4 separate regions of the Mus musculus genome follow, and regions 1, 3 and 4 are each reported to be linked to region 2. The links are microRNA targets in miRTarBase. Many come from high-throughput screens and were not tested one by one. Region 2 holds a microRNA gene; each other region holds the end of a gene's coding sequence.

Evidence for each region. The annotated mature microRNA mmu-miR-3473a reads UGGAGAGAUGGCUCAGCA and lies in region 2 at 970-987, shown strand. An mRNA with a match to its seed (bases 2 to 7 or 8) in the 3' UTR can be bound and repressed. Matches are read on the target gene's strand: a 7mer-m8 pairs with bases 2 to 8, a 7mer-A1 pairs with bases 2 to 7 and ends in A, and an 8mer does both.
Region 1: miRTarBase lists Adam11 as a target of mmu-miR-3473a. Seed matches in the 3' UTR shown: 7mer-m8 at 2,189-2,195.
Region 3: miRTarBase lists Atp2b2 as a target of mmu-miR-3473a. Seed matches in the 3' UTR shown: 7mer-m8 at 2,218-2,224 and 7mer-A1 at 2,488-2,494.
Region 4: miRTarBase lists Myo5a as a target of mmu-miR-3473a. The part of its 3' UTR that is shown has no 7-base or 8-base seed match.

What each region holds. Positions count from the first base shown.
Region 1 is chr11:102,777,675-102,780,795 of GRCm38, reverse strand. Adam11 (a disintegrin and metallopeptidase domain 11) reads right to left here. Exons shown (of 27, transcript NM_009613.3): 27 at 534-2,665. The coding sequence ends at 2,650. Among named protein-coding and RNA genes, the nearest start is that of Adam11, 18 kb to the right of the region's middle.
Region 2 is chrX:162,872,786-162,875,906 of GRCm38, reverse strand. It overlaps Mir3473a (microRNA 3473a), which reads left to right and starts at 912; the gene lies at 912-989. All of the region lies in intron 4 of Syap1 (synapse associated protein 1), which reads left to right.
Region 3 is chr6:113,745,741-113,748,861 of GRCm38, reverse strand. It overlaps Atp2b2 (ATPase, Ca++ transporting, plasma membrane 2), which reads left to right. Exons shown (of 20, transcript NM_001036684.3): 20 at 14-3,121. The coding sequence ends at 325. Among named protein-coding and RNA genes, the nearest start is that of Sec13, 6.6 kb to the right of the region's middle.
Region 4 is chr9:75,217,500-75,220,603 of GRCm38, reverse strand. It overlaps Myo5a (myosin VA), which reads right to left. Exons shown (of 41, transcript NM_010864.2): 40 at 3,025-3,104; 41 at 1-2,763. The coding sequence ends at 2,611. Among named protein-coding and RNA genes, the nearest start is that of Myo5c, 13 kb to the left of the region's middle.

The sequences.
Region 1 (3,121 bases), not on the chromosome of region 2:
TCTCCTGTCTTTCCCCCTCTTTTTTCTCCCTCACCCACTGCTTCCCTCCAGTCTCCTCTCAGCGGATTGGCACCTCCCGTGGCTCTCCACAACCATTTCCCCAAACTAACTGCCTCCCAAGTAGGAATACAGCAGGAGGTTCCAGGTTCATACTTGGCCTTTTGGCTAGTGATGGTTCTATCTCAGCCCACTGTCACCCTGCCAAGGATCAAGGGAACAAAGGTAAGTGTCAGTCAAGTCCCAAGGCTTCTCTGGCTTCATAGGCCCCCTCCTGCCTGCTCCCACCATCTCTAATTTTACTGGTTGGGAACCAGGCAGTGTCTTTGTGGCGACTGTGAGGAAGGGTGGACCTCGCCTCCGCCCACTGCCCGTTTCCTCACTTACTGAGGGAAACCACACCCCTTCCTCCTGCTTCCCCAACTGTCCTAGGTGCTCTTGTTCTCTGCAGCCGAGTTGTCACAACTCCAGAGTCTGGACAGCAAGGACTGACTCAGAGCGATCACTTACAGAGAGAGAGAGAGGAGAGACATGGGTTGGTGTGAGCTCAATGGAAGCCCAGAATGTGATCTTTAATCTTTAATGTGGGCCCCGGGCCCTGCCTCCCCAACCCAGCCCAGATGACATATTTACAGGATGCGGAGGGACCCAGGTCTGGGCCAGGTGAATGCAGCCCCCCTCCTCTCTTTCTTTCCTAGGTGCTGCCAGGCCAGGCACTGCTAGGGTGGGGCAAGGGGATGCAGGAAGTTGGACGCCTCGGGTGGACTGGCCACAGGAAGTCTTGTGTTCTTCACCAAGGACACGAGGACACACATGGTCATGCCCTTGTATGCAGAGGCCTTCACAGTGGTGCAGAGGCGTGGATTCACATGTCTGCACCCAGGTGCACTGCCACCTGTGTGTGCATGTGCCACCTGATGGAGGTCTCGAGGTATCCCAGCAACAATGCAAAATGCAGCCTTTCCCCTGACCTCAGCTAGTGGGGCTGGTGGCCTGCATCTGTCCTGTTGTCACTAGGACAGTGGCACCTGGGGCTCAGCACTGAGGACCCCACTGTGGCCAACACCATCTGGCTACCCCCAAAGCTGCCAGTGGGCCGTAGGCTCCAAGGTGCCGGCCACTGGGTTGGTTTAGATAAATGAAGCCATTTTCTCCATTAGCCTTCCTTGAAGAGTCCTCAGAAATAGGAGGTACACAAACGGGTAACCCTCTGTCTCTGGGGTACCTAGAACTACTACTTAGCCTGAGTGGGGTGTCCCCTAGAAGGGGCTTCCTTACATTGTGGTTTTCGTCCATAAGAGAGCCTGCTCTATCTTGCCCCGCCAGCTCTTAGGGCATGGAGCCAGAGCGTGTGTGTCTCACATAGGGTTGTGAAGGCTGGCCCTGCTGGACTGTGGGAGGGCTGAGCAGCTCTGCCAGCCTTGGTCCAGCTCTCAGGCTGGGCGGCAGCAAGGACCAGTCAGGAGGGCAGACAGGAACATCTGTAAACTTACTACTCAGCCCTAGACTACAGGTGAATAAAACTTGTGACGGGGGTGGGTATGGATTGAGGACTTGAGAATTTTCCTAGTCACCTATAACCATCCACGAGGCCTGCCCTTTCCCCATCTCCTCATACACATCACAGGCACTAACCCTGGGGCACAGGGCCACCCCTGGTTCTCCCTACTGAGAGTCCTCCCTGCTACGATAGCCTGCTCCAGAACAGCCAGGCCACATCAGGGGGCACCTGAACCCTGAGACAGCCCCAGAATCACCCTTCTTGAAAGGGGAAAGGTGGAGTTTTATTTTAGGGACTATATTTTTCTATACCCCCGAATGCATGCACCCTGGCAGGGACAGGATGGTCAGTTTGGAATCGAAGACAGTCTGGGACAGAGTCCCATGAGCTAGGCAGTGGGCACGGGACAGGCAGCTTTGGTTTGAATCAGCACTCTGACTTCTACTAAGCTGGGCAGAGGTGGGGCAAGCAGGGCTGCCCTGCCCCAGCTGGGTTCCCTGACAGGATTCGTTTGGGCCTCCCAGGGAGGGATGTGGGAGGTCTCAAGGCCTCGGGCCCAGGAGGCCCTCCTGTAAGTGTCAAAACATCCCTACAATTGCCCCCTGGCCCCAAGCAACCCAAAGGTTACATTCATCAGTTAAGATTAAGTAGTAAAACAAAAGAGAGAGAGAGAAAGAGAGAGAGAAAGAGGGAGAGAGAGAGAGAGAGAGAGAGAGAGAGAGAGAGAGAGAAAATGTAGATCAGCCCCTTCCCGTGAGGTCCAGGGGAGCTACTCCCCTGGTTCCAGCTGCCTGGTTTTGAAGAGGGGCCACCCAGCTGTCCCCACCAGGCACCGGTCCAGGCCCCAACGTGAGCTGTGGCAGTCTGTGATGATGGAGGCTACATTCACAGGGGGAGACGTGTGCAAGGCCAAAGCCGCATGAGGTGGGATGGGGAACTGGGCAGGAAGCGTCCTCCTCCCGGCCCCTCTACCCAGGTGGTCTGAAAGGCGATATCACAGTCCCAACCCCCAACCCCTGTGCAGCCAGGAGTTGAAGGGTTCGGACCCGGAAGACATTTGCACGGTGCCTCCCTCTGTGGCAGGGTGGAGGCAGCCTCGTGGTTCAGGGCCGAGATGGTGGGTGCCAGGCTCGGAGGGAGCAGGGTGGCACTTAGGCCCCTCCGGACCTGGAATGGAGAGAGGGCATCAGGAGAGGACTTGAGGCTGGGCTCTGAGGGTGAGCCCTCTAGTTGCCCCGCTCCTCCCCAGAGGTCCTGGAGGCATCAAGTCACAAGCTGGCCAGGTGGGGGTTCTGGCAGAGGTCAGACAGCGGTGGCATGGTAGACAAAACAGATGGGCAGGACGCAGGGGGAGGCCCCCTCCTAGCGGAAGGGGTTGCAGGGCACAGTTCCAGCGCCCACCCGGCCATGGGACCCGGCGGCAGAAAGGACAGATGAAGGTGGGCCAGGGCCCAACAGGCGGGTGGGCAGGAGGAAGGGCCTGAGCAGACAGAGGACTCGCTTCCCAGGCTCCCTGCAGGGCTTCGGGAATCGGATCGGTCCCAGCTCCCGGTCAACAGAATGCAAAGGGACGGATGAAATGGAGACAAGGACAGCGGGAGGGATGACGTGGCCGGCATCACA
Region 2 (3,121 bases):
TCCTCTCACTTCTACATACAAACTGTGGCACAGGGGTGTGTGCCTCTACCTCCCCCCAACACACACAATAATGATAATAAATATATATTTTTTTAATTTAAAGTTCACTTTACAAAGGAATACAGACTCTCCTTTTTTAAAAAAAATAAGGTCTTATTCTGGAACTCAATGTGTAGCCCAGTCTGGTCTCAAATTCTAAGCAGTCCTCCAGTGTTAGCCTCCCAAGTGACAGATGTATGCCACTATACCCTGCTTTCAGAATTCTTTCAAAAAGTTAGAAACTACTAAAATGACTCTGGAAACAGGTCTGGTTTAGTAAGTTATGGTAAGTTAGTGCTCATTTAATATAGCCATTAGAGCTGGAAAGTTGTTCATGACCTTGAGTGAGAAAAGAAAGTCGGCTTTCATGCTTGTCATCCCAGCAGTCAGGAGGAGCAAGAGTTTAGGGTTATCCTCCAATAGAGGATGTAAGGCTAGTCTTTGCTATAGGAGACTGTTTTTAAAACAAAAACTTAGGACTGGAGAGTTGGTCAGTGGTTCAGAACACTGGGTTCTCTTTCAGAGGATTCAGATTTGATTCCCAACACCCACATGGCTGCTTACAACAATTCATAAGTTCTAGTCTCAGGCTCTGACACCCTGTTCTGACCTCTGTAGTTACTAGCCACACATGTTGTGCACAGGCATAGATGTTGGCAAAACACCCATACACATAAAAACCTACAAAAAAGAAAGAAAATATTTTTTTAAAAAGATTTATTTATTTTTTTATTATATGTAATAAGTACACTGTAGCTGTCTTCAGACACACCAGAAGAGGGAGTCAGATCTCGTTACAGATGGTTGTGAGCCACCATGTGGTTGCCGGGATTTGAACTCAGGACCTTCAGAAGAGCAGTCGGGTGCTCTTACCTGTTGAGCCATCTCACCAGCCCAGAAAATATTTTTAAAAAGTGAATTGTCTTAAGCTGGAGAGATGGCTCAGCAGTTAAGAGCACTGACTGCTCTTCCAGAGGTCCTGAGTTCAATTCTCAGCAACCACATGGTGGCTCACAGCCATCTGTAGTGGGATCCGATGTACTCTTCTACTGTGTGTCTGAAGACAGCTATAGTGTACTCAGATAAAAAAAAGAAATAACTTTTTTTTTAAAGTGAATTGCCTTATGTATCAAACAAGATATTTTTTAAAAAGTGGTAGCTATCACAATGTATGGACTGCCTGCCTTCCTACGTATGGCAAATCTTACCTGCTGGATTCTCTAAAGGCATAGAACTAACAGAATAGGGCTGAAGAGATGGCTCAGTGGTTAAGAACACTGACTGCTCTTCCGGAGGTCCTGAGTTCAAATCCCAGCAACCACATGGCTGGCTTACAACCAGTGTACTCCAATACGTTAAATAAATAAACCTTTAAAAAAACTGACAGAGCTGGGCGTGGTAGCGCACGCCTTTAGTCCCAGCACTTGGGAGGCAGAGGCAGGCAGATTTCTTCTGAGTTCGAGGCCAGCCTGGTCTACAAAGTGAGTTCCAGGACAGCCAGGGCTACACAGAGAAACCCTGTCTCAAAAACACCAAGGAAAAAAAAACTGACAGAGTAAATATGCATATTGAAAGTAGATGTATTAGCCTGGTTCAGATAGTTCAACAACTGTCTGAGTGTAAAGCTTGAAAATCTAGTAGTTATTTACTCCACAAGGCTGGATGTCTCTGCAATCCCTGTCTGGTGCTACAGTCCCAGAAGATTCCTGGATAGCTGCTAGTCTCAGTCTACATGGGAATCCTAAAGCAGTTTTATTTAATACCAGCTGCAGCAACAGAATAGATGAATTTGCCGTAGAGAGTAAGGACAAACAGGCAAAAAGAAGGTTTTTCTTGTGTCTTTATATGTGGGCTGCCAGTTTTAGGGTGGGTCTTTCTGCTTCAAATAGTCTGATTCATAAAATTGCTCACCGAAGTGCCTGCCAGCTTGGGTGTTAGTTGATTCCAGATGTTGTCATGTTGACAACCAAGATTTTTCATCACTAGCAGGGACACCACATATATTAGACATAGGGACCCAAGGGAGTGTTACATTGAACCATAAATTATCTGTAACTAGTAGGATTCTGTGTTGTATTGTGTTGTTTTACTTTGTTGAGGCTGGCCTTGAGCTCATTCTATAGTAGAGGCTGCTGGCCCTAAATTTCTAATCCTCCTTCCAGGTACAGAGATTACAGACATCAATACTATACCCAGATCTTCAATTCCATGCTTTTCTGAATGTTTTGCAGAGGTTCATGTTGCTGGTGATGGCTTTCTTTTTTTTGTTGCTTTGTTTCTGGTATTTATTTATTTATTTTCATTTTTGGTTTTTCGAGACAGGGTTTCTCTGTGTAGCCCTGGCTGTCCTGGAACTCACTCTGTAGACCAGGCTGGCCTCAAACTCAGAAATCCGTCTGCCTCTGCCTCCCAAGTGCTGGGATTAAAGGCGTGCGCCACCACTGCCTGGCCTGGTTTTTAATTTTTATTTTCCGTGTAGGGATGTTTTGCCTGCATGTCTGGATGCAATGCCTGAGGAAGCTGGAAGAAGTTGTCGGATCACCTAGAACTGCAGTTACAGACATTGGGAATTGCCCTGGGGGTGATTTTAGTGGGACCTGGGTCCTCCAGAAGAGCATCCAGTGCTCCTTAACCATTGAGCGATCACTTCAGCCCATATCCTCGCTTTCATTCCAAAGACCCTAGGGATTAAATTCAGATCATCAGGCATGGTGACAAACACCTTTACCCACTGAGTGATCTCACCAGCTTAGGTTTTGTCTTTTTGAGACAGTCTCATGTAACCCAGGCTGACTTCCAAACCTCTGTACAGACGATGCTGACTTTGAAGTCCTAATCCCCCTGGCCTCTACTGCCCAAGTGGTGGGACTACAGGCATGTTCCACACTGTGTTTTGGCCTTGAGTTAGAATGTTTCTAAACCTAAAGGTGTTTATATGATTATTACATGTTTATATGATTTTTAACTATGTTGTTTCAATCAACTGAGTGAACTGTCTGGCTTCCTGGGAGCCTCTGTCCAGGTGAGTGTTAGAAAAAAACATGAAAGGATGGATTGTTCTCCTATCTCATTTAAGTGGGCC
Region 3 (3,121 bases), not on the chromosome of region 2:
GTTTCCCTTGCAGATCCGCGTCGTGAAGGCGTTCCGTAGCTCTCTCTATGAAGGGTTAGAAAAACCCGAGTCTCGAACCTCCATCCATAACTTCATGGCTCATCCTGAATTCCGGATCGAAGATTCCCAGCCCCACATCCCCCTCATCGATGACACCGACCTGGAAGAAGATGCCGCGCTCAAGCAGAACTCGAGCCCGCCGTCCTCGCTCAACAAGAACAATAGCGCCATCGACAGCGGGATCAACCTGACGACCGACACGAGCAAATCAGCTACCTCTTCAAGTCCAGGGAGCCCCATCCACAGCCTGGAGACGTCGCTTTAGCTGAGGCCCCTGTCGCCTGGCCACGCTCATGGACCCGCCGCCACCCGCCTCCAGGCGCACACCCTTCCAGGCACCAACTCCCCGACACAGCAAGGAGCACTGGGCGGAACCCACACAGCAGAGAGGGAACCAGACCTTTCTCTGGCAGCCATGCTGTTTGAACTCTTTTTCACTCCTTAGGCCTTGGGCGGGGTTGCCCTGGGGTCATCTGGAGCAGAGAGTGGCGTGGATTTTTTTTTCTCCAAAACATAAAAAATAATAATAACGAATTAATTAAAAAAAAAAAGAGCCTTTCCAGGCTCCAGCCCAGACACGGACCAGCCATGCACCCGCCGGCCACCGTGGCCCCAGCATGAATGTACCTGGACACTATTAATCCCCTCCCTCATTTGGTTCTTGGAGGGCTAGGGAGGGGAGTTTTTTGTTTGTTTCCTTAGGCGGGAACTGCAAACAGGAACTGGAACAGAGACTACTGTTCGTTCAGTCCACTGGTCTATGAGGTTTCAAATGCTTGCCCAGCATGGTCTCAAATGTCTAGATTAATTTAATAACTTTTTGAAATCACAGAGTAGGTTTGCACCAATGAAACCCAAGAACTCCACAGACACTCACGAGGTTATATCCGTTTCTTTGTATCTATATCAACGTATACTTCTTGAAGACTGTATACGTGCGTATAGATAAGTAGATATTATATATATATATATATACATATATATACATGGATATATAAAGTTCCTTTGCCGGCATGTTGCCTTGTTTCTGCTTAAATTGCTCTATTTTAACTTATGTCCTAAAAGAAGAATGTAATTTGTTTACAAACCTGTAGATAATGTCTTTGGCTATTTGTGTGGTTTAAGGACACTGGTGGCCAAGATGCTTACAAACAGCTCGGGCCCAACAGACACATCCCCTGGATTGCATCCTTGAAGTTTTACGATAGCCATGCTCTGATTTTTGCCTGCTATTTCCGTTCAATAATGTCACTACTGTGGGAAGCTCAGGCAGAAAGCCAACGGCTCCCAAGGATCCACCCTGAGGAGCTAAGCAACGCGCTCGCTCACTCCACCGTAGACAAGGGAGAAGAGGAGAGAAGGCTTCCTGGGTTTGCAACACGGCCGTCCAGGTCTGGTGACGTCAACGTCTGTAGTGCACCCGGAGAAGGAAGACTTTTCTCTCAATGAAACTCGCTTGAGTTTACAGAGAGCATTTCAGAACTGAGTTGTCTTTGGCACTGTCTGTGAGTCAAGGTAGTGTTCAGATATTACAAATGCTATTGTGTTGAATTTTTTTTTTTTTTTAGTTAGTAATTTAGAAGTTTCTTTTCTTATAAACGGCAGCATAGACACTGCTGACATACTGGATGAGGGTTGGTACGGCTTGCTGCTTTTGTTTTTTTTTTTTTTCTTTTTGAAGAAGAATAGCCTTTTTTCTCTGCACTATTTAGATCCGAATGAACCTTATAATGTGTACATTGAGATGTATTCAGTGTGATTTTTAAACCAAATTGTCTTCCTGTAGTTACAATATATACTGTAGCCTTTTAACAGCAAGTCCTGCTTTCCCAGACAGAAAGCCATTCTGATATCTTCCCATATCACAGGTGAGAAAAGGTGGCTATCCCCTCTCCCAACAATAACAGCACTAGTTATCCCACTTAATAAGAGCTTGTCTGTCGGCCTCTTACTGCTAAGCACTTTGTGGGTCTCAGCTTTTTTTCATAAAAGAACTTTTGTATTTAATACAAAGTTTGCTTTGAGACTTTTCAGCATACAATCTTTTTCCATAAACTTGTACAGTGCAAAAGACATTTTGAATACCATGACCGATGATGTCCCGTGCTTCGAGGAAATCAAACACTTTCCGCCTCACTTGTGAACTCCATCCTTCACTCTCTCCCTCCTCACAATCGCTCCTCCTCGCTCTTCAGCCTGGCCCCCCAGCCCTCCTCCAGGCCCAGAGACCTCTTCACTAAACAAGATGACAGCCACTTGGGAAAAGAGCCATAGTCAGCTGGGAGGGCCCACGTCTGGATGGCTGTGAAAAACTTGAGTTCTTGGTTTGGGCTTCAAAGTCTGCCCATCCCACCTGGCCATAATCTTTCTATAAGGAAGAATATCTCTGAAGGATTCTGATTGTATCCAGGAGAGAGAGAGAGCTACCTCTCCAGCAGGTGGACCAGCCCTAGATGTACTCACTGGATTCCAGTACAGACACCACCAGAGCCAGTCCATAGTACCCCTCCAAGGGAGGGAAGGAAACCCGGGGCTGCCTTGGAACAGGATAGGTTTTTGGTTTGGTTTTGTTGTTGTTGTTGTTGTTGTTGCTGCTGCTGCTGTTGTTGTTTGATTGGTTTGGGACTTTTGGTGGGGAGTCCTTTGTCACATTTTTCATCCTGCCCTCCTTCATTCAACCATGCATCTATGACCTCATTCCATGCCACCAGGGTTCTTGCTCTTAACAAACCGGGGTCCTCGGGCTTTGGAACCAGGCCTCCAGGGCAAAGAGGAAGGGGTTCTCTGAGCAGAGCCAGGTTCTCAGACAGGAGCAGAGGAAACTAGCAAGGAGGCCTGACATTAGTGCTGGCTTCCCGGTGTCAGGAATGAGAGATAGCCTATGCCCCAGCCCCTCACTCTCACACTCTTCCATACACACACACACCTACACAGGAGATGGTTGGTTTGTCAGAACTCACTGTAATACACAAGCTTGCACTTCTGCGTCCTATATCTAGCAGCATGGGATACGTTTGGCAGTTCACCCCATTAGGGGGTCAATAATTTATGACCATTCATC
Region 4 (3,104 bases), not on the chromosome of region 2:
AGTCCCAGGCATGCCGACCAGGGCCACAGAAAGCCATCAGGCTGGAAAGATTAGGGAAGTGGGGGAAGGGACAGGCAGGGAGAGGCTGGGTGTGTATTTGAAGCTAGGAGAGTATAGGTGACAGAGTAGAGGTGAGTGGTCCTCACTCAGCCTAAAGGACGCCCGTGAGCACAAGCCTGGTGCCTCCCGCCTTAACAAAGCAGTGCACACACTCACCATGGGGGTCTGAGCAGCTTGAGAGAATCTAAGTCTGGAATCATAGACTCTGAACCATTGTCACTGAACCAGGAGAACCACAAAATGGGAGCAGCTGTAGAACAGGAGCCCAAGCTCTTGACAACAGAGAAAAATGTGCGGAAGTGCTAGAAACTGTCGGGCACAGATGTCTGAAATAGGAGACTGGGGTTCAGGGACAGTGGATATGACAGCATGTCCTGAAGACAAGACTCAGGTGTGCATCAGCATCCTACTCAGGACTAAGCTGGGAGCAGGGTGTGGGCGGCCTGCCAGGGCTGAGTGAGGAAAGAGCCTACACGTGGCTCTGTTTGCTCGGCAGTTCTCCCACCCACTCCCCTTCTCTACCTGACACACTCAGTACTAGTGAGATGGCTTTAAGCACTAACTGTTCACTGAAACAATACTGAAAACCCAGAAAAACTGAAGACAATTAGTGTTTTAGGTCCTGCAAATAAATAAATGTACTGCAACTGAATGAAGACCGAGACTGTAGCTCAGTGATGTACTTATTTAACACAATGAGGCCCTGGGTTCAATTCCCAGCACTACAAAAACAAAATTCCCTAAGCAAACAAAAAAAGTTTATCATGGAACAAAAATTACTTAAACTAAGTAACTTTCAAATAATACAAATAATTAGGGTGTTGTAAAGTACCTAAATGATGTATGTTAAGAAAAGGTTTTGGCTACATAAACTTGTGACTTAGTGTATTGACCCTAGGGAACTGGCAGGCACTGAACACTGGTCTTTACAGCAGGACAGAGTGACTGTGACCCCTTTCTCTAGGAACCAAGTATGAGTGAACTGTAAACAGGGAAGTGGCTGGAACAATCAGTTGTCCAACCCTCTCACTTTATAAACAAGGACATTCAGGCTTCAATAAGATAATGAACAATAATTGTTGTTTAATAACAGTATTTATCATTGACTTGAAACCATTTAGCTCTCATTAATAATATTGCACATATTTAAATGTCACGGTTATAGACCATCTTACAGTTAAACTATACAAATTGATGATTGTAATTAAGAACCAGAGGAATGAAAGCTAAGAATTTGCTCTTGCAAAACCCAAAGGATTTACTATATAAGACTTCCAGGAAAAAAAAAACGGAGAATATGCTTAACTAGGATTTCATAATGAAGACATACTGAACCTGGATCTCACTGATCCAAATCCTCTATAAAGTTTAATAATCTCCTATACTTCTTACATACGTCTTCTTAATGTGTTTATAATATGATATTTTTAAAGTATCCAGTGGTATCTGAGAACATTTATAGAGGTTGCAACACCTAAGCCCCCTGAATTATAATGATTTATTTATATGCCTATTTTGAATAACTTATAGGATAAACAGTTTCAAGATCTTAGTCATAAATATTCTGACAGTCCTTTCCAGATAGTGACTGAAACTAACACCTAATAAATTAAAAAGAAAACTTGTCAAGGTTGAATATATGCATGGCAAGAATCAGATTTGGGAACTAAAACCAAGTAACTTTACACAACTCTATACCATGATGTGATATCCACACAGATGACTTATCAATGTAATAATCCCGATCAGCAATGACATCAACAGCCACTCTGTCTAACTCTACTTCCCCAGCGTCTGCTACTCGCGCTGATGAACCTGTGGATAACTGTATATAATCCGGTTAGAACTGATCTGGTTGACTTGTAAACAGAGCTGATGAAAGAGAAGCGTAGTTTATAGTCCTAGTAAGACTTTCACTTAGGTCAGGAGACAGCACACAGCAGCCACTTAAGATGCTCAGTAAGCTACAGTGCAAACGGGCATCTACACGGCCTAGCAAACAGCAGCTTTCACATCGCTATGCCGTAGGGACACAGAGAAGGAAGTTACTTGGCCAGTTACTTTAATGTTGCCAGTTTATTTTTGTGATCCAGTTTGACAATATCAACATGATTGGCTCCAAAGCTGCTATGATATGTATTCAGTGATTTTCTTCAGTTCTTTGTGCCTTGTTCACAACAGTTCATACATATGGGATTGTATTTTGTATGCCACTTAAATGCAGCACTAAAGATTTAAACTAAAAGCAGTCAGCTGAAGACACACCCCTTTATCCTTCCTTTCACTCCTCCCTGCCACCTTTCAGCTGTATGTAAACTCAGGTTTCCAACTGATAAAGAATAAATGTTGTTTAAAGGTAACAGTACGAGGGGTGTCCTCCAGGTTGGTCAATCGAAAGGATTCTGGGGGGAGGGGTGGATTTCCAGTTAACATCTTCCTTTAGAGATAATCAGTACTTTTTCTTTAAAAATGCATTTTCAGTAGCTCACTGGAAACAACTGTTCATATTCTGAGGAGAAATGCGTTTTCTACGTTTGCTTGGACAGCACTTCAGACCCGTGCGATGAAGCCCAGGCCCAGGCTGGCTGGGATCTGGATGGTTTCTAGGGCTAGGGAGGATGGGTTAAAGGGAAAAGTGACAGGAAAGATGTGTTTTGCATCCATGAGCAGCTGTGGAGAGTCTTTCCTGTCTCGTAACCGCATCTGAGAAGATTAAGAAAAAAGACAAACAGGGTATCAATCCTTCCAACTTGCAAGATATTTTTCTATAAAATTTTTATTAAAAATTTAATGAAAATGTTAATTTTTTGATTAAAACTATTTATGGACTATAAACTTATATAACTGCAAAATAAGAAAAATGGAAAAGCAAAAGATAAAGACACATTTTCCTTCCAAAAACATTGTGAATATTCCATTCAAATGACCATGTGGTAAATCAGTAAGAAAGAAAAAGCCTCTTACCTGTATAGTGCGGATAAATGAAACTGAGACCCTTTCTTCAAACTCATTAACCGGTGTGTACAGATTCAACACTTTGACAA